Pelodiscus sinensis: one gene and its partner. Each later gene encodes a partner of the first gene's protein in a complex. Links are inferred from orthologs where the notes say so. Each region holds a gene or a part of one and is shown in the gene's direction. Other genes may lie near its edges.

Region 1 (14,882 bases):
CCTCTCCCTATGGCCCCCCTAGACTGCTCCTCACCAGGGGCTCCCCCATAGCCCCCCAGAACAGCTCCTCACCAGGGGCTCCCCCATAGCCCCCCAGAACAGCTCCTCACCAGGGGCTCCTCCCATGGCCCCCCTGGACAGCTCCTCACCAGGGGCCTCTCCCTATGGCCCCCCTAGACTGCTCCTCACCAGGGGCTCCCCCATAGCCCTCCAGAACAGCTCCTCACCAGGGGCTCCCCCATGGCCCTCCAGAACAGCTCCTCACCAGGGGCTCCCCCCATAGCCCCCTAGAATAGCTCCTCACCAGGGGCTCCTCCCATGGCCCCCCTGGACAGCTCCTCACCAGGGGCCTCTCCCTATGGCCCCCCTAGACTGCTCCTCACCAGGGGCTCCCCCATGGCCCTCCAGAACAGCTCCTCACCAGGGGCTCCCCCATAGCCCCCCCAGAACAGCTCCTCACCAGGGGCTCCCGCCATAGCCCCCCAGAACAGCTCCTCACCAGGGGCTTCCCCCCATGGCCCCCCTGGACAGCTCCTCACCAGGGGCACCCCCATAGCTCCCCAGAACAGCTCCTCACCAGGGGCTCCCCCATAGCCCCCCAGAACAGCTCCTCACCAGGGGCTCCCCCATAGCCCTCCAGAACAGCTCCTCACCAGGGGCTCCCCCCATGGCCCCCCAGAACAGCTCCTCACCAGGGGCTCCCCCCATGGCCCCCCAGAACAGCTCCTCACCAGGGGCTTCCCCCATAGCTCCCCAGAACAGCTCCTCACCAGGGGCTCCCCCCATTGCCCCCCTGGACAGCTCCTCACCAGGGGCTCCCCCTATGGCCCCCCAGAACAGCTCCTCACCAGGGGTTCCCCCCATGTGCCTCCTGGACAGCTCCTTACCAGGGGCTCCCCAGAACAGCTTCTCACCAGGGGCTCCCCCCATAGCTCCCCAGAACAGCTCCTCACCAGGGGCTCCCCCCATAACCCCCCAGAACAGCTCCTCACCAGGGGCTTCCCCCAACCCTCCCCAGCACTGCCTTTTCTTACTATAAATGGCTCCCCAGGTGCCGAGTTGAAGCAGTTCTCCACGTACTCCCCCTGAACAGCTGCTCCCCAACCACCGATCTACCCAATTCCTCCCTGGTCCCCACTGAAAGCCCCCAACTAGCCCTTCAGTGGGACTTGGTGACGCTTTGCCTGGGGTGGGGTTTCTGCCCAGTTTCACCACAGCCACGAGAGGGGACTTTGCCCCAAGCCCAGCTCTGGGCTCAAGGGGTCTGTCCGTAGTTCTTGGTGGTTTATTCCTAACCACTGGCCAGAACCAGCACGTTGGCTGAGAAGCAGCCAGTCGCCCCTGCACGGGAAGGCCCATGTCCTCTTGTCCTGCCCAGAGTCTCTGTCCTTTCCCTTGGCTCCAGGCACCAAACCAGCCTTCACGTGTCCTCTTGTTCTGCTCCAGACACTGCCGTCTACCCTGCCATAGGCAACCACGACTTCCACCCCAAGAACCAGCTCCCCCCAACGCCGCACCGGATCTACAACGCAACAGCCGAGCTGTGGCGCTCCTGGCTCAGCAATGCCTCCATCCCAACCTTCAGAGCAGGCATGTGCGGCTCCCTCCCTGGCCAGCCCCGGCTGTGGGACGGGTCGGACACGGTCCCCTCTACGGAGGGGCAGTTTGCGGCACATCTGAGGGAGAGGAAGGGCCCTCCCGATGGGCTGCCAACCCAGCTCCTCTCACCAGCCCACAGGCAGCTGCACAGGAGCCCAGGAACAGCGTGTCCTGGCCCTCCAGCTCGCCTGCTTTCTCAGCTGCGTAGAAGGGTGCCCCGACGGTGTCCCTTCGCGCAACCATCGGGCCTGGCCTGGAACGACTAGGAGGCTGTGGGACTCAAGGCCCAGCTCCAGGCCTGATTTGCACAGACCGTTGCTCCTCAGGGCCTCCCTAGCCCTGGTCCAACATGGCTACCCTGGGTCCGAGATTCCAGGAGGGACCATTGAGTGGATCTCGTCTGCCCTCCAGGGCAGCCCAGGCAGGCGGCCTGCCCTCACATAGCCCGGGAGGGTTGGGCCTTGTCTACACGGGCGTGCTCTGTCGCCAGCCCTTCCCAGCATAGCCCTCGCCTGGGTCAGACTCCCAGACAGGCACGGGGCAGAGGCTGGGCCCCTTGGGCTGCTTAGCCAACAAGCGCCCTGCCCACGCTGCGGCCGCAGGGCTGGGAGCAGCTCTGGCATGCTGAGGCAGGCAGGGCTCTCGGAAGCCTCTGAGTGGGCGACGTGCTGGCAGCTGCTGGCACCTTGCCCAGGCCAGCATCCCTGGGCAGCTGAGCCAGTGGCGGTAACAGAGGGGGTGGGAGAGGTGTTGTCCCTTCAGGCCTCTCTCCTGCTGGCTGGGTTTGCAGGTGCTTTCTACAGTGAGAAGCTGCGCGGTCCCAATACCAAGGGACAAATGATTGTCCTCAACACCAACCTGTACTATGAGAGCAACAGTCAGACGGCGGGTGTGGAGGACCCCGGCGGGCAGTTCCAGTGGCTGGAGGACGTGCTGACCTCCGCAGCGAAGGCAGGAGAAATGGTAAAACGGTTTCCTTCCTCCTGGAAGCAGCTTCTGCCGCTGAGCTGCTCCTCCCTGTGCAAAGCCTGCAGCGCAGCCTCTGCAGGCCGCCTGACAGCCCGGCTCCTTTCTGCGGCAGGTCTACATCGTGGGGCACGTCCCGCCCGGCTTCTTCGAGAAGAAGCGGCACAAAGCCTGGTTCCGGGAGCACTTTAACAGGCGCTATGTCGAGATCGTGCAGCGGCACCACGGAGCAATAGCTGCCCAGTTCTTTGGGCACCATCACACTGACAGCTTTCGGCTCTTTTACAGCCATGGCGGTACCGTGCCACAGCGTGGGCTGAGCCCTGGCTGCAGGGCATCCCATTGGTCCTGCATCACATGTCCTGAAATGCCATGGGGTGGATTGGCCCCATCTGGTCTAGCCAACACTACATCGGGGCCCTTGGCGGAAAGCCATGGGCACCAGGAGGTGGCAAGCCCCTAGCAGGCCTGTGTGACTGGCAAATCCTCCTGCCTCCCAGCACTGTACACTGCCCCACGGCTGCTGGTGCCCGTCATCCGGGCATCTGGCCCCACCTACGGAGGCCCTGGGGGATAGCAGCACAGAGCATGCAGCGCTCGGAGTGGGAGCCACGGGGCACATGCGGCTGTTGCAGCCTGTTTTCTTGCTGCAGAGTTGTGCTTTTAGGTGGGAGGTCCCAATCCCACCCTGGTGTCTGCCAGGATGGTGTTGCTGTGCCTGTGCGCTGGTGGCTGTCATAAGGTGACTGATGCCCACGTGCCGGTGGCTGTCGTTGGGCGACTGACGTGTTGCAAGCCAAGTGGCTTAGGCAGCGTCACAGGCTGCCTGCCAAGCACAAGGCTTGTAGTTGGATTGGGCCAGGCTGTGACTCAGGCAGGCTCCATTTGCCTTCCCATGCAGGTTCCCCCATCAGTGCCATGTTTCTAGCGCCAGGCGTGACCCCCTGGAAGACCACGCTGCCTGGCGTGCACAATGGCGCCAACAACCCTGGCATCCGGGTCTTTGACTACGACCGAGGCTCCCTGCAAGTGAAGGTGAGCCCCCCCCCACGGCATGGTCTGTCCCTTGGGGCACAGCAGCTGCAGCCGGCGTTGCTCCAATAACTAACCGACAGCTCCGGGGAGAGACAGGCAAAGTACTCCAGAGCCACTGTGCACGTGCAGGGCGGAGGGCAGAAAATTCAGGGCCATGTGGGTGTCAAGAGGCTGCTGGAGTCGGAGCCCCCAGGACAGGGCAGGATTGCGCCCCTTGGTCTGTTCTCCAGGCCTTTCCCTGGCTTGTATAACGAGCCCAAGCAATGGGCCTTCCAGCCCTTCCGTTCAGGAAAGAAAGCCCTGACAGGAGCCCCCAGGCGAGATTCTTGCTCTGGTGCAGAACGTGGCATGTTCCGAACAGGACCTGTGCTGACAGGCAGGCGGCTGGGGCGCTTGAAAGACTAACAGACGGGTTAGGGCAGAAGCTCTCATGCGATACACACTAGGATGTTAAGGGCTAGTTGATTCCCCCCCCTCTTGCTGCCTGTCAGATAGAGGCAGCAAACGGGGAAGAGCGGGCGCTGCCCCTTTGAAATGCTGCCTCGGGTGCTCTTGTACATTTCAGAGGAGGAATGCGGAAGTGCCTATCGACTAGTAAATTACTTGTTAGTTAACATCCTTAATATAAACCCCTTCCTCAGACGCTTGGGGAGGAGAAGCAGGGACCAGAGCTGGGAGCGGGACCGCAGTGCTAGCTGAATGAGAGGGGAGGTGGCTCATCTCAAAGGCTACATCTACACTGGCCAGTCTTGCGCAAGAACAGATGCAAATGAGGCACAACGATGAATCATTTGCATACTTAATGAGCTGCCATTTTGTGCAAGGAGCAGTCTACACTGCTCCTTCCTGCGCAAACCCCCCTCTTGCACAAGAGCCGTTCTGCCTCCAATAAGCCAGTATAGACGGAGCCCAACAGTGAGGAGACGGAGAGAGGACCTGCAGGGGAAACTGCCTAGTGTGATGAGAGCCATTCCATGCCTCTGTTTAAACTGCTTTGGACGGCATCACAAGGGCCTTGAATTGCAGCTCAGCCGTGTCTCTCTGCGTCTGGTGTGCAGTTGTTTTGCACGTCAGGAATGGTGTGGCCAGGCAGGTTAACGTGCTCCCCACATTGTCCATTCACTCTGTTGAGCGGAGACAGGCAGGTCTGTCCAACGTGAATGGCAGAGGGGCACTGCTGGTGCATGATGGCACAGTCGTAGATGTGCAGGTGAATGAGCTGATGTGGTCAGGCCCTGTGACGGTGTCACCAGAGCTGGCGATGGGGTTTTCGTGGGGCGAGGTTTCTGTTGCGAGAGGTGTGATTGGTGGTATGTCTGGTATGGGGGGCTGTCTGTTAGCGAGACCCGGCCTGCAGGAGCGAGGGATTGTCATGTGTACAGGCCCTGCGCCTGATGGGAACAGGGAATAGCAGGGTTATAACGGGGCTCTGCCGCAGTCTCTCTGCCACCTGAAAAGGCCAAACGTGTGCGCGGCAGCAGTAACGAGGACCCGAGGATCATTGTAAGCTCCTGTTTGTTCCATTCAACATCTCTCTGCCCCGAGGACACTCTGGATGGCTGGGAGCAGGAGGAGGAGAGGGGAGTGGCGCAGAGCAGCAGGGTTTTAACAGGATGTGTGCAGCTCTGCTGTGGCTTTGATCTGGGAACACATGGTGACTGCTGGGCACGGAGCAGTCATCCCTCAGGGCTCTTGCTTACATAAAGCTGAGCCCTCCCCACAGCCCAGAGCTCCGTGGCAGCTCAAGTGCTCGGTTCCTTCGCCACCCTGCAGAGAGGCGCAAAGCAGCCTGGCCAAGCTCCTTTAGAGCTGCCCCTGCAAGAGCCATTGAACCGGGGCCCAAGTAACAGCCCTGTGCACATGGCCTGCTAGCTGAGGGATAAAGTCCCCCGCGTGATGGGCAAGCCTCCAAGTGGAGCCCCCAGCCAGCCAGAACTGCTCCAGCAGAGCGGGTCAGGGCCAGTGAGGCACCTGGGCAGCGGCTGCTTCTGCCTGTCGGGGTAGGACTGGTGGAAGTGCCCCACCTCAGCACCAGTGTCAGGAAGCTGCTGAGACCCAGCCCTGGCCGGGGGGTCATTTCCAGGGCAGTTCCTGTGCTTGTTTGCCCTCTTAACCCCCTTTGGTCTTCTCTCTCTTGCGCAGGACATGGTGACTTATTACGTGAACCTCACTCATGCTAACCTGGCAGGCCCCAGCTGGGAGAAGGAGTATCGGCTGACTGAGGCCTTCCAGGTGCCCGACGGGTCAGCCCGCTCCATGCACATGGTGCTGGAGAAGCTGTCACAGGACAAGCAGTACCTGCAGCAGTACTATCGCTTCAACTCCGTGCAGTACGACCTCAGCGAGTGCGACGGGAGCTGCCGCACCGACCATCTCTGTGCTATCCGGGAAGTGGATTTTACTCAATATGAGGAATGTGCTAAAGCCGGAAGCTTCCCTGCTGTATCTGCTCTGCCAGCAACCCCCGTTTTCTTCCTCGGTGTGCTGCTCAGCCTTCTCCCTTCCCAGGGGCCTCTCTGGTGACCCTGACAGGTTCGTCCCGTGCAAACCGAGCATCCTGCACCTGAGTCAACACCAGCCAATGCCTCCGGGGCTGGAATTTGCTCCGGAAGAAGGTGACGTGTTTTTATGGCAGGGGTTTTATGGCTCGGCTTTGTCTCTTTCCAATAAAGAGGATTGGCTGTCTTGCCTCGTGTCTTCTAACTAAGAAGGCGGGTGGGAATTTGTGTCCACCCCACGTGACATGGGGGGGGGGGGGTTCTTCTTGCGTTGCAGAGTCGTTATCTCAGCCTGCTAACAAATGTGGAACTGCACCCACCTTGGCACTTGGTTTTCTAGCCCACGCATGGTAACTTGAATAAGAACTTGCCTTTTTTCCTAGTGCCAATGCACCACAGGGGCTGAATGAGCAGGGGATGGCGCCGGGGGCAGCTGGCATGGTGGTGCGGCATAAGCCAGGACAGCTGGGCACTGTTAGCCTGCCAATGGCTGGGCGGGGGGGCAGCAGCTAGAGCTCGTTATGCTTAAATGAAGCACACGAGATCTTTTATGGGGGAAGGCAGGACGCCGCATTTATTGAAAATACAACAGTTGCGTACGCTTTTCAATCACACACACGCTCACAAAACATCATGCATACATCATTCTGCCAAATGGTATCATAGTTACCAGTCCAGAGTCTGTGTCAATCTAGTGGCCAGCTAGATCAAACACAGGGGGAGCAGGGCCTTTTGTCGGTCGCCATCCGATGCTCCTCTCGGGATGGTGTCTTGGCAAGACGAAACCCAAAGTTCCATAGCAAAGCACCCTGCTTTATATATTCCTTCTTCTCTGCTAAAATCCATGGATCCTGCTGTCAGCTTGGGACTGGAATGTTATCTTTTTGATGTGAGTGTTCCCAAAACATCTCGCGAAGGTTCATCCTGTAACCAATCGTCCTTTCGGGGTGCTTGCTCCACTTTAAGGCTCGTCAATCTGCTAATTATCCAATCTTCTTGTGAGTAGGGGGTACGCATTGATGGTCATAGATGACTCCTCTGCAGTCAGGTTGGCTCATCTTCGGTCCTTTGCCCGCACTCGCTCAACCCCCTCCTTTGACCACCTGGTTCTAAAGCCGTAGAACTTTGCATCTTATCTTAACACATTCACACTCCTACATACACAACTCTCCGGGGTTACAGATCTGCATGGCAAAGCAAAAGCGTTGTAAATTAAACCATTCAGGCTTGGCCTTCAACATTCGCAGAATTCCTCTAATCTTATTAACGCAGCCACAATACCCAGAACTGGTTTTCTACTTCAGAGTAAAGAAAATAGACCTTCATAGAGCGGGAAGAGACCTCGGAAGGTCAAGTCCAGCCCCCTGCTCTAGGCAGGACCAATCCCGACTAAATCAGCCCGGCCAGGGCTTGTCAAGCCGGGACTTAAACTGTCAACTGAAAGGACTTGATGACACGGACGTGGCCATACACGGGCCTCTTATTGCTGCGCTACTGTCACTAGAACAAGAACTAGAAGAATAAAACGCTCAACCCGAAGGCTCTGGGCCTTCAGCCGCCCATGCCAGGGCCCGGAAGGGCTGGGGAAGCCGAGGCCCCAGTCCCAGCCCTTGCCCCGAGGCCCCGCAAAGTCTCTTGGCCTCCCTCTGCGAACTGACCGTGGGGCTCCTCGGCTCAGGGTCCGCAGAAAGGGCCCCGGGGAGCCCCGCTGGCTGAGCGCCCGGGCCCCCCAGGAGCAGCGGCCCCGGCGGTGCCAGGCTCGGGGAGGGGCCGGGCAGCCTCGCTCCAGCCCGTCCCCGCGGGGCGCCCGGGCCCGGTTCCTGCTCTTGCAGCCCCACGTGGGGCTCGTTCCCGCCCGCGCCAAACCGGCCCGCCGGGCGCCGCCACCACGTCACGCCCCGGGCCCGGGATCCCAGCGGGGGCGGGGGCGGGGCCGGGGGAAGCCCAGCGGGGCGGGGCCCTGCCCCGGGGCTCGCCGCGCCCATCCCGGAACCGCCCGCGGCCGGCGAAGTTCGCTGGGGGGTTCTGCGGGGCCGGGAGCGCTCGGGGCAAGGATCGCGGAGAGGCCCCGGGGGGGCGGGGGCGGGGGCGCAGGAGGAAGCGGGAGAAGTGCGGGGGGGTAGAGGGGCAGGAGGGCGAAGGGGGGCAGGAGGGAGCGGGGGGAGTGCGGGGTAAAGGGGCAGGAGGGCGAAGGGGGGCAGGAGGGAGCTGGGGGAGTGCGGGGTAAAGGGGCAGGAGGGCGAAGGGGGGCAGGAGGGAGCTGGGGGAGTGTGGGGTAAAGGGGCAGGAGGGAGCGGGGGGTAAAGGGGCAGGAGGGCGAAGGGGGGCAGGAGGGAGCGGGGGGAGTGCGGGGTAAAGGGGCAGGAGGGCGAAGGGGGGCAGGAGGGAGCTGGGGGAGTGTGGGGTAAAGGGGCAGGAGGGAGCGGGGGGTAAAGGGGCAGGAGGGCGAAGGGGGGCAGGAGGGAGCGGGGGGAGTGTGGGGTAAAGGGGCAGGAGGGAGCGGGGGGTAAAGGGGCAGGAGGGAGCAGGGGGCGAAGGGGCGGGGAGGTCTCTGGCGAGGGGTCCCCGGGGGCTGGTGCAGCAGGCAGAGGGTGGGTGGCGCGGTGCCATCAGGGTCCCTTTGTGCCATGGCAGGCTCGGGCCATGGCGCTTACTCCCCCCCCCGGTACCGCTACCTGGACCTGCTCTTCGCCCTGCTGGGCACGGCTGCCTTCCTGGCAGACTTGGTGGCTGATCTGTGGGTGGCCTCCAGCTACCTGCAGGCTGGGCACTGCCTGTGGGGGGGCCTGGTGCTGCTGCTGCTGGGCCTCTCCTCCCTGGCCGTGCAGTTCTTCAGCTGGGCCTGGTTCCACACAGACCCCGGGGAGCAGGACCTGCCCAGTGACCGCTGCCGGGACGTGCTGCACCTCCTCCAGCTGGGCTACCTCTACAGGTAAGGGGGCCCCTCTGCTGAGCTCTTGCAGCCCAGGCGAGTTCTGCTGGTGACAGAGCCGGTGCCTCCGGGGGTGGAATCTGCCCCCGTGGGAGCATCCTCACGAGGTGCTGCAGCTGCCCCTGCGCCGATGCAGCACTCGGGTAGCTGGGCCCTCGCGTGCGCTGCTGCAGCAGTGTCAGTCCAGGGCGGGTCCAGCAAATCACCCAGCGCAGACATGGCTGCACACGGGAGCGTTAGCCAGGCAGGGGGACTGGTGCAAGCGTCAGGAGCCATTGCTGGGTAGCTGTGCTGTCAGCAAACCTGTCTGCTGGGACTAGGCCGACGTGAGCCACGCTCAGCTCCCGTGAGCCCAGGGCTGGCTGCTCTGGTGTGGTCCAGTGGTGATTCAGCTAACCGGGCTGTTTGCTGGGGCTGAGGAGCCCGAAGCTGCCCTACCCCTCTTATCCATTCCAGCTATTTCCCCTAAAATACACCCCCTTGGCCGGCTGGCTTTGCCCTGCTGGGAGTAGTCGTGCTGGGAGTGCTAGTGTAGACGGGACTCGGAGGACCCCTTCCTGCCTGTCGGGAGATAAACACGGGAAGACGTTGCCTGTGGGATCTCCCTCTCTGGGGATATTGAAGAGCAGGTTGGACGCCTGGCAGGGTTGGTCTCCATGGTGCCGCGAGGGCAGGGACGGGACTCGCTGCCTCTTGAGGTCTCTTCCAGCCCTGGTGCTCTAGGATTCTGTGATTCTTTTGCCTAGGCCTGTGGCTGCCCCCGTAGACTCAGTGCTGTGGCCGGAGGCTGCAGGCAGGTCAGTGCTGCACTGAGCTCACGTGGCCCTGTCCCTCCCCAGCACCGTGTCTGGCAGCACCTTGGGGAGCGTTTTGTTCATTCTCTGCCCAGGGCTCGGACGCACATGGCTGAGGGGCCCAGGGCCAGGCTGCCACCTGGGTGGGAAAAGCAGACGTCACTTCTGCATTGGAACTGAGTTGGTTAATCGCCTTTGCTGGTCGCCATGTCAGCCGATTGCCTGGGGTGCACTTTGCTCAGCTGGGACTAGAAAGTAACATGCCACTTTCGCTCTTGGTTCTGGGCCAGGGCCAGCGGATTTGAGGTGCCCTGTGCTCTAGCGCCAGGGTCTCAAACACGTAGGGAACGTGAAATCCAGAGCAAAAGTCGTTTTCGTTGAAACTGGGGGGGAAATGACCCCTGGATTTCTCCCTCCTGATGGATTATACCCCAAACCTGGGCGGGGGAGAAGTGATTTGACAAGAGAGAGATCTCACCCTGTGGTGAGCCCTGGCATTAGCAGGCGCTCGGTAGGGCCCGTGTCAGGAGAGCTGGCTGGTCATGTGGGGAGCTGCCAGGGACAGGCAGGTAAATGGGATCTCCCTGGACCTGAGAGACTAGACCAAGCAGGCTGTGGGGGGCAGGCTGGCTCTGGAATCCCCCCGCCCCCGTGACAGATGGACGGACGGCACTGTGTCTGTGTGGCCTGGCGCGGAGCCTCCTCACGGCAAGGCTGCGATGTCTGCGCAGGTGTCTCCACGTGTTGAGAGTGGGCTGGCGCGTGTGCCGGCAGGAGGCTGCCCCGAAGGAGCGACACTACGCTGTCTTCCTGTCCCACGACATCAGCATGCTGCGCCTCTTCGAGACCTTCCTGGAGAGCGCGCCCCAGCTCACGCTCGCTGTGGCCATCGTTCTGCACACCAACAAGCTGGAGCCGTTCCAGGGTGAGTGGCGCAGCCCCGGCGGCGGGGGCAGGGCAGCAGGATGAGGGAACAATCCCTGGAGCTCCTGCAGCTCCGGGTTCTGAAGGATACAAGAGCCGGGCCTAGTTCTGGAGCCCGGCGGTGGCAGCGGGGCCTGCAGCCTGCCCTCAGCTCTGTGCTAGTGGCCCCAGCCCTGAGCCTTAGCTCAGAGCTGGGTGGTGAGGCTCGAGGGACTGGCTGCCTCACGCTCACGTTGGCTCTGCACCCGGGCCAGCCCCTGCAGGGTGTGCTGCAAGGAGGGTCTTGCTGAGGAAAGCCTGGTTGCAGGTACTGAGGTGCCCTCTGGGCTGCTTCCCAGCACCTTTGAGAAGAGGGGCAGGGCTGGGATGTGGGGGGCAGGGAAAATCACCCAGACCCAGGGCTGGAGGGTGGGGGAAGCAGGGCCCTGCCCCGAGGAAGGGGGTGTTGGGCCCATGGAGCGGTGCGCGCAGGCGGGTATGGGGGTGGCACCGCCCTGCATCTGGGCACCTGTGGGGCAGTGCCCTCCAAGAGGGATTGGCTCTTGGAGCTTCCCAGGGGGCCATAAATCTGGGCCAACCCCGAGCCCCCAGCTCCTGTTCCACTGGCTCCGGCAGGCCAGGGTTCCCTGGGCGTTTGGGTCCGGGCGGACGGGAGGAGCTGGGCCCAGGAAGCAGCAGGGCACCACTGGCCGAGGCCTTGGAGGCTTGTCACCGTGGCCCAGGCCCTAAGGAGATGGCTGTTCACCCTCCCAGCTCCACGGTGCCCGCCCTGCCTGTGGCTCTTGGCACCCAGGCCCTGCCGTTCTCTGGCGCTGCCTGTGGGGTGGGGCGCGGCTCAGGGCTGGGCACTGCCTACGCGTCTCTGGGGCTTCCTCCAGCACAAGTGGGGCAGGCGAACAGGAACGGCGGAGACAGACCCTCTGGCTGGGCGGCTGGCCAGGGCCCTTGGGAGCTGGGGGCTGGGTTCCTTGCGCCAGGCCCTGATGCCGCGGGAGTGAAGCCAGCACCTCTCCCCACTGTCCCCCGCAGGGCTTGGGATTTGCACAGCCTCCCTGTGCGTGGCGTGGGCGCTGCTGGATTATCACCAGTGCCTCCGCTCCTTCCTGTTGGACAAGTCGGAGCTGGACCAGCGCTCCTCCGCGCTCTACTTCCTGTGGAACTTCCTGCTGCTCTGCCCCCGCATCCTGGTGCTCGCGCTCTTCGCCACGCTCTTCCCGCGCTACGTGGGCCTGCACTTCCTGGGGGTCTGGGCAGCCTTTCTGCTCTGGGTCTGGCTGCAGGGCACGGACTTCATGGAGTGCCCCAGGCGGGAGTGGCTCTACAGGGCCACCGTGGCCGTGATTCTGTATTTCTGCTGGTTCAACGTGGCCGAGGGGCAGACGCGGCACCGCAGCGCCATCTATTACAGCTTCCTCCTGGTGGACAGCGTGCTGCTGGCTGGCTCCTGGCTCTGGTATGACGCCCTCTTGCCTGAGCGCGCCTACCTGCTCCCCATGCTGCCTGCTGCCCTGGCCTGCTTTGTGCTGGGGCTACTACTGAGACTCACCTACTACGGATGGTTCCACCCCACGCTGCGGGCCCGGCCTAGCCAGGACGTGGTGGATGGTACTGAAGGGGAAGGAGGGGACCAGCGAGAAGAGCTAGCCGACGATGCCGTGGGTTTCCGAGCTGGCGCGGCGCCGGCCCTTGTGAACAGACGGATGCACCAGCTGTGCCAGAACCACTTCTCGTGATCTGTGCTGGCTGGGCGAAGCTGGGAGAACGGCGTCCAGGCCAACAGGCGTCTTGGAGGGATTCTCAGCTCCGGGCTCTGAGCCGGGGACCCCGTTCCAGTCTGGCCCAGCCAGCTCAGTGCCTGCCCTGCGTCCGAGCACCGCAGCCCTGGAACAGGCAGCGGGGCCAGGGCGGAGAGTGGAGGGGGCAGGCCGGGAGCACTGGCATGTGGGGTCCTACAGGTGGCACCCAGCACGGGGAGCTGAGAGTCCTATTTCAGGCTGCGCTCACTGCAGGGAGTGTCATGAGAGCTGGATCTGAGCGGGCCCCTGCCCTGGATCCGCTGCACTGCAGCTAACTCCTTCCTTGCTCCTCCGACTTCAGGTCTGCAGGGCCCAGGCCCTGCCCCATCTCCCTGCCAGGCCCAGCCTGCGCTGCTCCAGCGGCATGAAGTGGGAACCTCCCGGCCCTGGTGCACAGCCCCTGCAGCGTTGCCATTTGCATGTGATTTCTCAGACCACTCGGGTTTTGTTGCTACATTCGGCGTTTCCCTGGTGGTAGGGGATGGCCATGGCACCGCAGGGGCCGCTGGGAAGGGTCAGTTCACTATTGGTCGAAAGGGATAAAAATGGTGGTAAATAACGTAAAACGGGTTTGTGTCTGAGACCCGGCTTCTAGTTCAGCACTTCCCCCAGGGGACAGATGGGTAAGCAGGTGAGAATTGGAGTGGGGGAGGGGAGAGGAGAATTCAGGGGGTGGGGGAGGGGAATGGCAAGAATTCAGGGGGTGGGGGAAGGGAGGGAAATGGGGAGAATTCGGGGTCGGGGAGGGGACCGGGGAGAATTCAGGGGGTGGGGGAGGGGAATGGCAAGAATTCAGGGGGTGGGGGAAGGGAGGGGACTGGGGAGAATTCAGGGGGTGGGGTAGGGGAATGGCAAGAATTCAGGGGGTGGGGGAGGGGAGGGAAATGGGGAGAATTCAGGGTCGGGGAGGGGACCGGGGAGAATTCAGGGGGTGGGGGAAGGGAGGGGACCGGGGAGAATTCGGGGTCGGGGAGGGGACCGGGGAGAATTCAGGGGGTGGGGGAGGGGAATGGCAAGAATTCAGGGGGTGGGGGAAGGGAGGGAAATGGGGAGAATTCGGGGTGGGGGAGGGAACGCGCCGCTCACCAACCCTTTGCCTTTTTCGAACAAAGCTCCACTAATTGATGTCCCCACCCTCCCCCCCGGACTAGAGCCTGGCTGTGCTCAGGCCCGGCCTAGGGCCAGGAGCTGCACCGGGCTTTAGTCCAGTTGGTTCGGTTTCCAAGATGCTCCAAAATCCTGTCTCAACTGGCTTCTCACGCCCTTCCCCACTGAGTCTGATCTGCCACGAGCCAATCGGCCCTGGCTGCCTGTGAGACCAGCCCTCCCCGAGTGAACGTCCAGAGCCCCCCTCCGGCCACATTGCAAATGCCAAGGAGCGAGGAGCCTGCTGCAGCCAGGGCCACCCCTCCTCTGCTCAGAGGTAGCAGGCTTGAGCCAGTATGTCAGGAAATGGCGACTCGCTATTATTCCATAAGTCACTTTTTTGCTCATTTGTGTGAAGCTGCCTGAGCGTGGTAACTGGAATTGGACACTAGAATTTATTTTTATTAAACAAAGTTACCTTAAGTTTTTATAGAAATGTCTTTATCAAAATAGTTCATCGTTAGAACTGATTTCTTAAAGGGAGGGATTCACTGATCAGGGCATTACATGAGTTCAGATTTTTCCCCTAGCCTGTTTTAGCCGGGGGGGGGGGGGGGGATTAGTATTTTTTGGGAAACCATCTGGCAACCCTACCAGAAGTTAATGCACCAACACTGGTGTGTAGAAGAGTAGGCCTGGCTGGTGCCCAGAAGAGAGAGGGTGGGGCCGTCCCGCCCGCCATTCCCTGCGTGCACCCTCAAGGAGAGGCTCTTGGGGAGGAAAAGACAGAGGCTGCAGGTGTAAGCGTCACAGTCATGGCTGCTACCCCCCCCCCCCCCCCCCGCTTTCAGGACCCCGCACTAGGCACGGAATAGTGGAGTCGATTAACTGATGTGCAAACACTTACAGGGTGATGCTACAGGCTACATGCATCCTCCTCCCCGGCTCCCTTGCGGGCACATTTTTGAGCAGCCCAGCTCAGTCCCAGCTTGCACTGGGTCCTGGACCTATCCCCACTGCGGCTCTTCAAAGTGTATTAGGAGCCAGATGGGCCAGCAGCCCGGCTCAGTTCTGGCTCGTGCCGGGTCCGGGAGCTCAGACCCTTCCCCCAGACAGGGACGGCCCGGGGCCTAGAGAACAGTTGACTAACCAATAAGAATTCATGAGGTTAATCAACTATTCAATTAACCGATATTTAACATCCCTACTCTGCACCTTCATCACCCTGAGACCCAGCGAGCTGCCATGCTGA
Region 2 (14,129 bases), on another chromosome or scaffold:
GATTTTTCGATGGAACTCGTTTCTGTTGGCAAAAGCTGGTGTGAATGAATTCAAAATATGGTGGCATCATCTTGGGATTTTTTTTGGTTCTGAAAGTCTCAAAAGGAAATTATAAAAGCAATTCTTCTGATGAGGCTGAAATGTTTCATTTAGTCTTCTAATTTAAATATGGAAGTCAGACACATGTTTTGACCTCGGCTACATGTTCTGGAATGCTCTGTGTCATGACACATTCAGCACTTCTACTTAGACCCAAGGCAGGATGAAATGAAATTGGAAAATCTCAGAATTTCACATAGGATGCAATTTTTGGTTTGTTTAAAACCAGTTCCAGTTTCTAAGGCTCGTGGTAAGAGAGAAAGGCCTAAAACATAACCGTGAGGACACCCCAACACTGGAAGGCAAAGGAAAAGACCCCGGCTTCGATTGTTTTTTAAGATCTCATGATTTTATCGTGGCTTGACTCTCAACAGTTGAACTCAAGGGCCAACTGCTGTAGCATGTTCCTGTCAAACCCAGGAGTTGAGTCTCAGGAAATACAACCAGGGAGCAGACCGATGCTTCCCATATCCTGCCCCCGCCGGGGTCTGCTTCAGCGGAAAGTTAACGCCTCTCCTCAGATAATGCACCTGGCTGTGTGCTTGGTGGGATAACCACGCTGACAGGGGGGCTACATCCGTCCTGATCCTGCCCTCTGGCTGCAGAAACAACGTGAACTTCCCAGGGTGGTGGGAATGAGATCAATTGACCTAAACCCAAGGGATGGCTTCAGACTTTGAAGTCAACTTGCTCCTGCCTTTTACTTTGTTATGTGGCCAGTGCATTGTTCTCTTCGCTGCCTCTACTCTCCCCACCAGAGTGCTCCCTCCCCCCTCCCCGGTTTAAATATTCTCTCCTGGGCAGACAGATAATGCCAAGACCAGAGCAGCTCTGAGGACCAAGGAAAGGGTCGCTGAGGAAGTGGAGGAATGAGAATGATCTGAAAGACAAGCATCCTTCACTGCACTGAAAGCCCCTAGCTCTTCAATGAGCCCATCATCACACTGGTATAATTAGCTTATCTGAGGGCATGGCTACCTAAGGCAGCGTGTAGCAGGTTTAAAACTAATAAAAGAGAGTTCTTCTTTACACAGCGCATAGTCAACCTGTGGAACTCCTTGCTGGGGGAGGCTGTGAAGGCTGGAACTATAATAGAGTTTAAAGAGAAGCTAGATAAAAAGCTTTATGGAGGTTAGGTCCATAAAAGGCTATTAGCCAGGGGATAAAATGGTGTCCCTGGCCTCTGTTTGTCAGAGGCTGGAGAGGGATGGCAGGAGACAAATCGCTTGATCATTGTCTTCGGTCCACCCTCTCTGGGGCACCTGGTGCTGGCCACTGTTGGCAGACAGGCTACTGGGCTAGATGGACCTTTGGTCTGACCCAGTACGGCCGTTCTTATGTTCTCATGTGTAGCAACAAGGCCGTCTCGACACTGTCATGTTAAAATGAAGGTCACCATGTGGGAACACCTGGGCTGAGAAAGGGTAACCAGGTCACCAGTAAGATCACCCTACGCAGGGGATTCTTACGGGTTCCGGTTAACCGATACCTGGTGGGGGCTAGGAGCTGGGCCTGCTGCCGACAAGGGCTGCTCTGGTGGCGGCTGGGAGCCTGGAGCAGCCCTCCCCAGATCCTGCTTAGCTGGTTAACCAATTAAACATGAGGAGAGCGCTGCTCCCCGAGGCCCAGCAGGTTAGCTAAGAGCATTCCAGCTACTGGGCTGGATGGACCTTTGGGCTGGCCCCGTACGGCCGTTAACCCAACACTTGCCCGGTTAACTGATTAACTGGGACGTTACGTCCCTGGGGAATGCTGGTGCTGATCAAATACTTCCACCCCCTACAAGGGGGGGCTCGCTTTACCGGCATTCCCACGCGCATTCACCGCCCAGGGCTGCCTGTCAAGCAGCGGCGACTGGATCAAGTGCCAGTGTCGCGCTGCCCTTGCTTCTCGCGTCCCTCGCCTGCCAAGGAACTCGAATGTGCATGTTGCTTTTTATAGCCCACACTCCCTGGGGCAGAGTTCTCAAGCTGGGCTGGCTCTGCTCCCCGATGCCCAGCTGGTTAGCCGTGTGCGGTCAGGCGGTGCCCAAGTGCCTGAGGAAGAGTCGGGGCTGGATTCTCTAAGGACACGATCTAGTGTGGCTTCCAGGCGATCTTCTGATGCCAGTGGGGTGCCCCAGGGGAAAAGACCGGGCACGGAGCATGGCTGAGAAACGCGTTCAGGGCCGCGCCCATCTCTTAAAGCCTCTTCTTGAGGGGACGAGGCACACGCTGACCTAGGAGCCAGCCATAAAAACGAAAGTTTAACACGTGTCTGTAGGAGACACCGCTGGAGATGACATGCAAAGGAGTCGGACTTGTTGTTGACCTGGGATACCAGATCCCCAGGCATGAGACTTTTGGGGAGAGGCAGGATAGTGGGGGGGGGGGGGAATTAGCCGTTAATGGGAGGTTTTTCCTGCTGCAAACCAGACCTTGTATTCTAACAGCTTTGCCTTTAACATGGCATGACTGGTCCTGATCCCGCATGTGCCCCTCCCAACGACCACAAACCCTGCAGGTTCCAGACTTTGCTATACAAGAATCTCCTCTCTCCCTGCCAGGGGCGACCAGTGCCTGCAGGGGGGAAGGGGTGGAAGGAGGACCGCCCAAGGGGCCGGGACATGTGGGGGCACCCCATTTAGCCATTAAAATGAGGGTGGGGATATACGGGTGAAGTGCACCTCCGGCATGCTCCCTTGCTCCCTTCCCCCACCAAAACGCAGCCACTTCTGGGATCAAAGACAAGAGGGACTGCCCAGAGCTACTTACAGAGCAGGCCAGCTAGCAGAGGATAAAAAGCAAAGCGCCAGAGCAGCTGTTAGGAGCCAAGGTGCTGGCTCCAGAACTCTTGTTCCGCCTTTTTGGCTGATCTTGATCCAATTAATATTCAGCATCAGTATGGGGAGGACAGTGTTGCTGGCAGTGATGAATGGAAAAAAACAGGAGGAGGCAGAAACATTGTAATGGGCACGAGCTGGAATTTGGCTGGAATGCGAATCTGTAAGGAGGCCTAGGAAGCGTGTGGTGTCTGCAAACACAGACCCGGCCAAAGTCCAGTGACATGGAGCACCAGCCTCTATACCTAGCTTTACTTGGGTTTTGACCTGGGGAGGGGGCGGGGGTTGTTTTTAAGGCTATTACAGCAACCTCTCCCCACCCAGCCGTGGCTGGTGCAGACACTGTCACAGTGGAGGTTGTATCTGTCTGATCTCCTTCTCAACCGCCCACAGAATCCATGTGGCTTCCCATAGGATTTTTACAGTAACAGCTAAGCACTGCTGAGGCAACCCCCACTAGGAACCCATCCTGGCCTGCCACAAGCAACATCCTAGCTATGGATCACGTGGTCTTCCACCTCGAGCAACCAGCAATTAAAGTGGCAGTGCGTTCCAGACTTCTGTAGGCAGTAAAACAGAACAAACCAAGGCCATAGAGGGATCCCTCAGTAAATACATGGTGCACGGAGGGTGTGGGGAGGGAAAGAATAGGTCTTCTCCCAGGAGCTGGTGGCTGATCAGCAAGAGGAACAATTGCTGCTGCTGCTCTGGAGCATCTGAAATGCTTTGTCATTCAACTTAAAGACAGTTGGAATTTTTGGCACTGAGCCTACTGGAGAAGATGAGGTTAGTCTCACTCTGACAGACTCCATCCCTGGGCCACTCGCTGTGTTATCCATCTGCTTAGCTGCCCTGACTTGCTCAGCCCCATGCACGCTGGCAGCAGGAGCGGCTCGAGGAGAGCTGCCGGCATCTGGCGCCCTGGGCGGAATGCGCGATTGGCGCCCCCGCTTCCATAGCCCTCAATGGCGTGATGTCATCATTGGGCGCCGCGTAAAATGCAACTGCTGAGGTTGCTTACATCCACAGGCCGCCCCTGGCTGGCAGCAATTGACAGAATAAACGCTGGGGTGGAGGCTGATAGTCTGGCTTTAAAAATGGCAGGTGTAGTGGGGCTGGAAATCTTGAAACCACACACAAATCCTTCTCACACAAAACACAGGACTGTGTAGCACTTTACAGACTAACAAGATGGTTTAATAGGTGATGAGCTTTCGTGGGCCAGACCCACTTCCTCAGATCAAATAGTGGAAGAAAATAGTCACAGCCATATATACCAAAGGAGACAATTAAAAAAATGAACACCTATGAAAAGGACAAATCACATTTCAGAACAGAAGGAGGATGGAGGGGGGAGGGAAGGGAGGGAGGTAAATGTCTGTGAGCTAATGGTATTAGAGGTGATAATTGGGGAAGCTATCTTTGTAATGGGTAAGATAATTAGCATCTTTATTCCTTCTATGTGTCTTTTAATTCAAAGCTGGTTTTCTGGGTTGGAACAAAGGGCGAGTACCCGGCTTCAACAGGCCTTGTTACACAGAAAGCTGATGGTGCTTTTGCTTTCCTCAAGTTTACTGCCTTTCTGAGGTGTGTGATTACTAAAATAAACACTCTCTAACATCCCAGATGGAAAAGCAATGCAGGAGTGCCTTTGTCAGGGCGTTCCTGGAGAAAGATGGCAATCTTGCTCCTTCATGTATTGCTGGTGTCACTTTCAGACCCTGGGGGTAGAGTGTTTCCAAACCAAAGCAGAGCCTCTCTTGAAGGGATTCTTCATTCCTATTATTAAAACAGACAAGGGAAGGTACAAAAATGAAATGATCAGAGTTGAGAACAGCTCCTGGATTTTAAGCCCCCTTGCTGTATATGCCTGATGAATGGATCACTGCCCAAGAATCCATCCAATAAGCAAGTCTGGAGCTAAGGGCTGTACTGTGTACTTTATTGCCAGGGCCAGCCCACAACATTTTGGCACCTGAGGCAGGGAGCTCAAATGACGCCCCCAGGCCCCCTTGCTTGGGCCAAAACTTTGAAAGGTCTCAATTCTGCCTCCTTCCTGTTCTACTCCTCTCATGGAACTGCTCTGCTACCTACCCCAATAAAGGAGAACTAACAACTTAAAATGCCTTGTTCAAAAAGTGTGAACTAGTGGTGTCCCTCCCCACCCCCAGTCTGACACCTGAGGCTGCTGCTTCGGGTGTTGCCTCATGGTAAGGCCAGCACTGTTTATTGCAGCAGTGAAGTGTAGGAAGTATTGTGTATAGTGAGCTGGAGGAGGGACAGCAGGACTCCTGCAGTTTTCTTAATCTGCACCCAGCTCTGCTGATGATTTGCTGTGCGACCTCAGGCAATGTACTGACTACTCTGTGCCTCAGTTCCCCTTTCTATAACACAGGGACATTGTGCCTCAAAAGCATCACAGAAGATTTGGGATGCCTTCTTCATTCAATGTCGGCAAAGTGGCATGAGACTGCCAGTGCGAAGGGAACCAGTGATCTGCTACACTGAGTGCCTGAGGAGGTCAAGCTATAGGCTCCCCATTGCCAAGGCACCAAATGTATTTCCACGCCACCCCTGCCCTCAGCTTCACGCCCCCTTGCTAGCTGCTGCCTGAAAGGGGAAGCACAGAGCTGCCCCTTTGGCAGGGAACTTCTCCCAGGGGTTCGGAGGAATGGCTCCACTAGTCCCAGAGGGGCTGGGTGTCCTACAGCAGAAACTGACCAGGAAGGCCAGTCTCTGCTCTCCCCCCACATGTTCTGTCTGGCTCATCCGCAGCAGGGGATGGAGGCCGTGCTGCGTGGAGTCCTGAGTCAGCCTCGTTAGGGGCCTTGCTGTGACTTGAGCTGCCTCTAAGTGATTTGGGGCAGGGGCAGACAGGCCCAGACATGGGTGTCTGCTCTTTCCCTGCCCCCCCCAAAATCCTTGTTCCCTCTGCCCTTCCCCCCACCTGCCTCAACCCCCTCCCTCCTATACCCTTCCCCCCCCACCCTTCCCCCCCTTGGTACTCCTCCCTTCCTGCCCCCCCTTGGTAGCCCTCCCCCCACTGCCCTTCCCCCCACCTGCCTCAACCCCCTCCCTCCTATACCCTTCCCCCCCACCCTTCCCCCCCTTGGTACTCCTCCCTTCCTGCCCCCCCTTGGTAGCCCTCCCCCCACTGCCCTTCCCCCCACCAGCCTCAACCCTCTCCCTCTCCCCTTCCCCCCTTGGTACCCCTCCTATACCCTCCCCCCACGCCCTGCCTCCTCATTTGCATAGTCCCCCTCTCTCGTGCGCACACGCGCACGTGACTTTCCTCGCTCAGCTCGGCCCCGACCTGCGCCCCGAGGACACGACCCTGCGGGTCACATGTCCCCTCCCGGATTCCGTCCTTCCCCGCCGTCGAAGGTCAGTGGGCGGGGCGCTGCCTCGATCTGGCCCGGCGAGCTCCGGTCGCCAGGAGGGGCGGGGCGCTTTGTGGGCCCCGCCCAGTCCGCGGCGCTCTGATTGGCCGCCGTGGGGCGCGCAAGGGCGGGGCGGGGCCGGGCGCGAGGTGACTTGGCTCGGCGGCGGCGCGCGCCGGCTCTTGGCGGGTTAGCGGCAGCGAGCGGCGACCATGGGGGCGCGCGGGGCCGGGGCGCTGGTGCTGCTGGGCGCGCTGCTGGGCGCCGTGACGGGCGCCTCCGCCGCAGGTAGGGCCGGGACCCGGGGCGCTGCAGCGGGCTGGGCCCTCTCGGGGCGGGGGGGGGGGCCGGGCCTGTGGGGGGGGCCCTCTCGGGGCGGGGGGGGGGGCCGGGCCTGTGGGGGGGGCCCTCTCGGGGCGGGGGGGGGGGCCGGGCCTGTGGGGGGGGCCCTCTCGGGGCGGGGGGGGGGGCCGGGCCTGTGGGGGGGCCCTCTCGGGGCGGGGGGGGGGGCCGGGCCTGTGGGGGGGCCCTCTCGGGGCGGGGGGGGGGCCGGGCCTGTGGGGGGGGCCCTCTCGGGGCGGGGGGGGGGCCGGGCCTGTGGGGGGGGCCCTCTCGGGGCGGGGGGGGGGGCCGGGCCTGTGGGGGGGGCCCTCTCGGGGCGGGGGGGGGCCGGGCCTGTGGGGGGGCCCTCTCGGGACGGGGGGGGGGCCGGGCCTGTGGGGGGGGCCCTCTCGGGACGGGGGGGGGCCGGGCCTGTGGGGGGGGGCCCTCTCGGGACGGGGGGGGCCTCTCGGGACGGGGGGGGGCCGGGCCTGTGGGGGGGGGCCCTCTCGGGACGGGGGGGGCCTCTCGGGACGGGGGGGGGGCCGGGCCTGTGGGGGGGGGGGCCGGGCCTGTGGGGGCCCTCTCTCGGGACGGGGGGGGGGCCGGGCCTGTGGGGGGGGGGCCGGGCCTGTGGGGGCCCTCTCTCGGGACGGAGGGGGGGCCGGGCCTGTGGGGGGGGGGCCGGGCCTGTGGGGGCCCTCTCTCGGGACGGAGGGGGGGCCGGGCCTGTGGGGGGGGGGCCGGGCCTGTGGGGGCCCTCTCTCGGGACGGAGGGGGGGCCGGGCCTGTGGGGGGGGGGCGGGCCTGTGGGGGCTCTCTCTCGGGACGGAGGGGGGGCCGGGCCTGTGGGGGCCCTCTCTCGGGACGGAGGGGGGGCCGGGCCTGTGGGGGGGGGCCGGGCCTGTGGGGGCCCCCTCTCGGGACGGAGGTGGGGCCGGGCCTGTGGGGGGGGGGCCCCTCTCGGGACGGGGGGGGGCCGGGCCTGTGGGGGGGGGGGCCCCTCTCGGGACAGGGGGGGATCTTCCTGTGGGGCGTCCCATGGGGTGGGCTCATGGGGGACCCTGCAGCGGGAGGGGGGAGAGTCTGAGGCCCAGCAGGGTTGGGGGGGCCCAGGGCTCTGCCGGGGACCCCCTGGTGCGGGGGGCCTGGGGCTGCTCTGGGGGCCGCAGGCTTCAGCGACTCCTCTCCTTGGTAGGGTGCGGTGGGAGGTGGGGGGGTGTCTGGGGCAGGGCCGGTGGGAACAGAGGGAGCCCTCCTGGGGCATGGCCCATGCAGTCCCTGGGTGAGGGACCTGGAGGAGCGGAATGGGGGAGGTGCAGCTGGGTGTTGCATGTGTCCAGGGGGCACCGATGTATGTGGGACTGTTCCTTACCTCCACCCCAGGGGGTGGGGTGTGTCCAAGCACAGGGAGATCTGGGGTGGGTATCCTCTTTCCCTGAGAGCGTGTGCCACCATTTCCCAGGATAAGAGGGTGATGGTGGGATTAAGAATGTGGAGGAGACTGGCTCTGGGCTGAAGGAGTGTGGGGAGGCAGAGGTGCATAATTCCTCCAGGGTGAGCTCTCCATCTGCAGACTGTCCCCACAGTAAGCTGTGAAGGAAATCCTAGATGGGCTGGGTAGTTATGTTCCGCTCACTCCAGACATGCTATAAGCCATTTCTCAGCCTCCCCCTGGGGACCATGAGTCTGCTTGCAGATGGAAACTCCATTAAAAGGTTCGTCTCTAATTAGCATTTTCTGTTTTTAATGTGAAGCTGGTTTGACACTCACATTTCTGTGTGTATGTTCATGTGTGTGTGTGTGTGTGTATAAAGCAATCAATAAAGAATGAAAACTAAGGTGGCTCTTACCAATCTAGTTATCAGAGCATGAGTTCATCATCTCACAAGGTCTGTCAGTACTAACTAATTTGCAGGCTTCAAAAAATGTGCATATAGGGCTTCAGTTGGTAATCTGCTAATGGAGGAACAGTGCTGCCCTATGTATTTCTTAGGTGTTCGTAATGTACCAGTAGTACCTCGAAACTCCTGTGTGGTGGCCATTTCGAAGATGTGCAACAGCATGGTCTTTGGGCATGGACAGAAATATGACTGCAAATGAACCAGGATTTGGCATTCCCTGAAGCTTTGTGACATTTCAGTTTCCCCACCTTCTGTGCTGTTCTCAAAGAAGCCTGCTGGATTTATTTACACAGGGCTATGGGTGTGCCTTAGGCCATAGGGAATCTGAGAAAACAAATAAGACCCAGGACTCTAATTCAATCCTAATACTTGCTCAGAGCAGTGGGATGTCCTCTGCAGTTATTGGGTCTTGCCCTATTTCGAGTTGTGTAGCGGTGGGTGGGATCTTTGTGGTTTTTCTGAGTCATATTTGGTACCTCATGAAAACTCAGAGGAGGCAAGTACACGAGGGAGAGAAATGCATGGATAGTAATAAAATGGCTCTTGCCTAGGAGCAAACTGCATCTTGTTTATACAGCAGGATTAAAGACAGAAAATGGCATTTGTTTGTCCCCCACAAGTCTTTCCTATCCAGAGGACTGTGACACACTATTCAACAAATTAAATTGGAACTTGTATTCCTCCCTTCCCTTGCTGTATGCATCTGTAGTGAGCTTGCATTCTTCTAGAAAAGCCTGACACTAACCCTCCATTTTAATACTGTGCACTGCTTCTCAAAATTAAGCTAGTCTGTCGTCCAAGTGCAGTATGTCACGGCTAATGTTTGTGCTGTATGTAAAAGCCTCACTTCCCATGTGAGGCTTCAGAAATCGGACTTGAGACACAATCCCCCCCCTTCCAAACAAAGCAGTAGGTTTTGGCTAGTGTATAGCCTCTCTCCTGCAGATGAATTTGTGCTTTGAAACACATGAAAAACAATGGCCTGGCAAGCCACAGGGCTATCTAAGCAACTTGTGGGAACATTCCCAGTTGGCCCCCTGTAGTCACACGTCTGTCCTTTGGTCAGTTTACATCTGGCTTTTGATGCCAATGTTGTTCTATGATGTAGTTTGTCAGGCATTGGTCTTACTGTAAATTTGTTAGCCTACTATTAAGCTTTGTCTGGGCAGCTGTTTTTGTTTTGTTTTTGCTTAAACAGAGGGGTCTCTGTACATGCCACTTTCCTTCCTTCCTTTGTCAAAGCTGCTTGCTGAAGATAACATCTTTACATCAGGAAGGCATTGAGGGGGACTCCTTAATAAACCATTCAGTTCTGCAGTGCCCCCTTAGCTATGGTGGGTTTCTGCAATGATGTGGATTTTCCTGAGCTTTGTGTTTTCAACTCCTTTCCCAAGGAATGAAATTGCAGTGTCTCATGTGTTAGGGTGCTGGCGCTAGGCAAAGCCCTGGAAAAAATCATGTTGGGTAGTTCTGGCCATCGTTTGGGCAGCTCAGTAGCTTGTTGCTCTGAGAACTGTGTGGTATGTCAGTATAGTTATATCCTGGCTTCTTTTATTAGGACTTCAAAGGTTACAGAGTGACTCTGGTTTGAAACAAAACCTTTAAATGGATCTCAGCAGCCTTCCTCTTATGGCTTGATTCCGTTAATGGGACTGAGATGAAAAATCCTTAATGTTAAAGCAGCTAATATAGAAATGCCTTACATGCTGGTTTATACTGATGAGTGCGTAGGTAAGAGAAGTGACTTGAAATCCTTGGGTCTAACATTGATTCTCTCAAAAATGGTCAAAAATGATCTTGATTTCATTGAGGACATGGATTTAGCTTCTCTTACAAATTCCAGTAGTACATCTTGGCAAATGGTTACAAGCTATTTTCTTCTTCTCCCTATTCAGTTCCTTTTTTGATTCTGTATGAATAGCTCTTTCCCCCTTACCTTATTGAATACAACTAAGCTTTAAACATTTTGCAAGTGTGTTAACTTTTTTAAAAAAGTGTTGGATACTGTACTGATGACAATATCTGGCTTTTCCAACCAGCCTTTTTCCCCCATCTTTTCCCTCCTTTTTTGCTGTGATAAACCCACATATAGACAAATAAAGGGTGTATCAAATACACCAAGCAAGGCTTTGTCTACACCAGAGGTCTCTAACCTTTTTAAGCACAAGATCACTTTTTGAATTTGTCAGTCCAGGATCTACCTCAAACCCAAATACCCCTGTTCCCGCCACTTCTCCGAGGTCCCACCTTCCTCACACTGTCCCCCATCTTCAGAGTGACATCAGTGCCCCCCTACCTCTCTCCCACCCTGCACAGCATGCAGGAGGCTCCCAGGGGGCAGCTCTGAGATTCTGGGCAGGAGCAGCAGGGAGAGGCAGTTGAAGTGCTAGCACTTGATAGCCTTCAGAGCCAAACCTGTCAGAATCTCTTGTCAGAGGCTCCAAGGTCTGGTTGGTGACCACTGGTCTACACCAGTGGTCCCCAACCTTTTGGGGCTGCCGGGCGCCTGGGGGCGGGGCTGCACACGCACCCGGGGGCAGGGCCACCCATAGGCTGCGTGCCCAGTGCCGGTGCCACCCATGCGCTGCATTCCCGGGGCCGGTGCTGCACGCCCAGGAGCCGGCATCACCCATGCGTTGTGCGCCTGGGGCTGGCACTGCTCTTGTGCTGTGTGCCCGGGGCGGGGACGCCCATACACCGTGTGCTCGGGGTCAGCACAGCCCATGCACTGCGCACCCAGGGGCGGGGCTGGCCCCGATCACTCGGCGGGCGCACAGAAATGGCCCGGCGGGCGCCATGGCACCTGCGGGCACTGTTGGGGACCACTGGTCTACACTGTACCCTACAGCTTTTAGCGACATTGCCCTGTTGTCACAGCCATGTTGCTAAAAGTGGGGCAGTGTAGTCTAGCTTCCGCATGAGCGATGTTTGCATTGACAGTTGATCCCTGCAAATCTTTGTCTTTGGGGTGGGGGTGAGGAAGGGTTAGCATTTCTGAATGACAAAAGTTTTGTTGCTGATTGCCATTGTAAACACAGCCTAAAGAAAATGAGGGTGGAAGGAGAAGCTGATGTGGTTGAGATGGTGCTTGGTCCTGCCATGAATGCAGGGAACTGGACTTGATGACTGTCCTAAAGGGTCCCTCCAGTTCTGTGTTTTTTCCTCTCTAATCTCTTCATCATGGGTAACATGGTCTTAAAACAGATTTAGATAAATGAGTTTTTTGTCTGTTATATGAAGTCGCCATTAAATTTGCAGTGCCAAGAAATAATTTTTTGGTTATTCTTATAAGAGGGAACAATTGGTGGTCTCCTAAAATCTGGGCCATGCTAATCCCTCACAAGTATCCTGTGAGCACGTTTGGAACCTGCTTTTTTGCCAGATTGATGGGGAAGACTGAGCAATTCTGACTCCCTGAAGTTCTCTTACCTAGTTACTCATTGATTCTGCCTGACTTTATATATGTAAAACCTCCTTCTAGGCTTTGAGGTATGGAGACTGTATCCAGAGCCTCCACCAGTAGCTGGATTGTCTGAAACTTCACACATCACTTGAACTGTGGAACAAGCATCAGCCCTATAAGCAGAGAGATCTTCTGTACTGAACAGTCAATATACTGCTTTGGGAGAGGAGGCAGCTGTCTGTGAGGCTTAGCCAAAGGAAGGCAGAGAGTCAGTTACATGTGGCAGACGCTGTTATAATGCAGCAGCTCCTCCCTCAGCTCAGAGGGAGTGTCTGTTTTTAGATGAAGGTGACTTTCATGTAGAAACGTTATTTAGCAGGTCATGTGTCTTTTTTCTGTAGGGCACAGCAGAGATTGAACAGGCTGTAAAATGACAGTCTCCAATACTTTGAGCTCTTACTTGTCAGAGAATGTCCTGTTCTTTGGCTTGCTTGTTACCCCTCCTAGTCCAGGGCCAATAAAAACCAAGCAGTTAACATTGAGTTGAAGCCAGTTGTACCTGTATGTTCTGTGACAGCAGGAACTCTTATCAGCTCTAGAGAATGCCATATGCCCTGTTGATTGCTATCTTATGTTCTAATTCATCCAGTTTGCCAAGATTAATGCTCAAAGGGGATTTTGTTACTTCCATAAGAAATAAGGGTGATTATTTCCTTACTGCGAGTACTTAACGGTGTCATATGAGGACACACCTCAGACCTACTGAGTTTCTAGCCTGTTTTGAATTAAGAATCAGAGGCCCCCTGACTTAAAAGTAATAATTTTGGAGTAACTTATTTTGTTGAACACTCTATAGTCAACTTGTATGTGTAGCAGCAACCTTTATTTTAATGGCCTCCTTTATCCAGGCTGTAGTTAAAATGTGACAGGCTCTTACAGGAATGGTGCTCACTTCCTTGACTCTTCAAAATTAGGTAGTTAAGAATGTTTAATCACAGGCTTGTGATTCAAAAAGAAGCAGTCTTGCAAAATCCAAAGTGTTTGCCAACCACGACACAGGAACGTACTTGCCCCTTGTGACCAGGCGAATAAAACCTTGCAAAGCTAGTAAATTATACTCAATTATTTAATAGATGGGAATTTTCATCAGTTCCTTAGTGCTAGAAGTATGCAAAGCTTGGTGTTTGAAAACAGTAATATCCTCTGGTGCCTTTGCTAGATGTGCATTTTGTAGAGTGCTTTTGGGGCTGGGGAGAACTTCACTGTACTCACATTCAGGCATAAAAAATGTAAGGGCAGCAAAAATTATTACAGAAATTGCATATGGAAATCAGATTAGAGACAGACTCTAAAACCCCTGTTCAAATCACTGAGAACAGTACATTCAAGAAAATACTCTTAATATTAAAACTTGGATGTTTTGGCATATAAAATAGTACTATATTACCAGACACATTTTTTACCCATCTAGTATCTAATTTGAGAATAAACAAATTAACTCTTCAAAAAGAGTGGTGTCTTACTGTATCATTGTTTGTAGCTAAACATTTTCCTTTCCCACCTTGCCTTCAAAAAGCCCCTTTTATTTGGGACAACCAAAACAAATAGCTATCCATTAAGATAACAAAAACTTAACTTTCTTTTATTCCTCTTTTCAAGTCTCAGTATTATTCCTGGCTAAGCTAAATTTTTCTTCTCTGGTTGGCTGTTGAATTGGCACGGTGGTGGAAAGGGTGAGGACGGTGTATGGATTCCTTTATCACCTTTGTGCAAGCTGCTGCGGGTCAGTCGGGAATGCAGGAGTGAGAATCAGCGTGGAAGACGAATGACCTGATCCTGTTTTTTTGTTAGAACAACTCTGGGAATGTTTCCTCCTGTCTAAAATAAATTAAAACAAGACAAAACCCAACCTCCTTGTGTCTATAAGATGATGTTGCCAGGGGAGTTGTTTACCAGTATCACTCCACATTTCAGGTTGGCTGTCTACCCAAACTTAGATGGTGGTGTTCTTTCAAAGCTTCATCTGGATTCCACCCCTTCCTCCCCACTCTTGTGAAGCACAGCAGTTTCTTTGCACTGCACAGACGGCCCCCAGAACGTTGCATTAACTGTTGCTGTTCTGTTGCCCCTTGTTTAGGTATTCAGGGGTGAATAGGGGTCTGAGCCAAACAAGCTAAGATCAGTGACTTCTGGGCCTCAGT

The links.
Region 2: the proteins of XKR8 (region 1) and BSG are in contact, whole or in part, in a cryo-EM structure (PDB 7DCE), measured with the Homo sapiens proteins. The link is inferred for Pelodiscus sinensis from reciprocal best matches to the Homo sapiens genes XKR8 and BSG. Residues at the interface, in NP_060523.2 of Homo sapiens: His232, Leu236, Val239, Leu242, Trp243, Leu246, Gln247, Arg280, Gly283, Arg284, Ile287, Phe291, Ser294, Asp295, Leu298, Ala301, Thr302; in NP_001719.2 of Homo sapiens: Trp326, Pro327, Gly330, Ile331, Glu334, Val335, Leu338, Val339, Ile341, Ile342, Phe343, Tyr345, Glu346, Lys350.

The regions. Positions count from the first base shown.
Region 1 is NC_134735.1:22,922,267-22,937,148, forward strand, and holds XKR8 (XK-related protein 8), read left to right. Parts: upstream 1-8,585; 5' UTR 8,586-8,725; coding exon 8,726-9,030; intron 9,031-10,555; coding exon 10,556-10,749; intron 10,750-11,777; coding exon 11,778-12,481; 3' UTR 12,482-13,200; downstream 13,201-14,882. Other genes in the region: SMPDL3B (acid sphingomyelinase-like phosphodiesterase 3b), read left to right, coding at 1,447-1,590, 2,390-2,562, 2,681-2,861, 3,467-3,600, 5,743-6,123.
Region 2 is NC_134729.1:15,825,684-15,839,812, forward strand, and holds the start of BSG (basigin), read left to right. Parts: upstream 1-6,427; 5' UTR 6,428-6,512; coding exon 6,513-6,588; intron 6,589-7,705; exon of another isoform or gene 7,706-8,320; coding exon of another isoform or gene 8,321-8,339; intron 8,340-14,129. Other genes in the region: basigin-like, read left to right, coding at 8,321-8,339.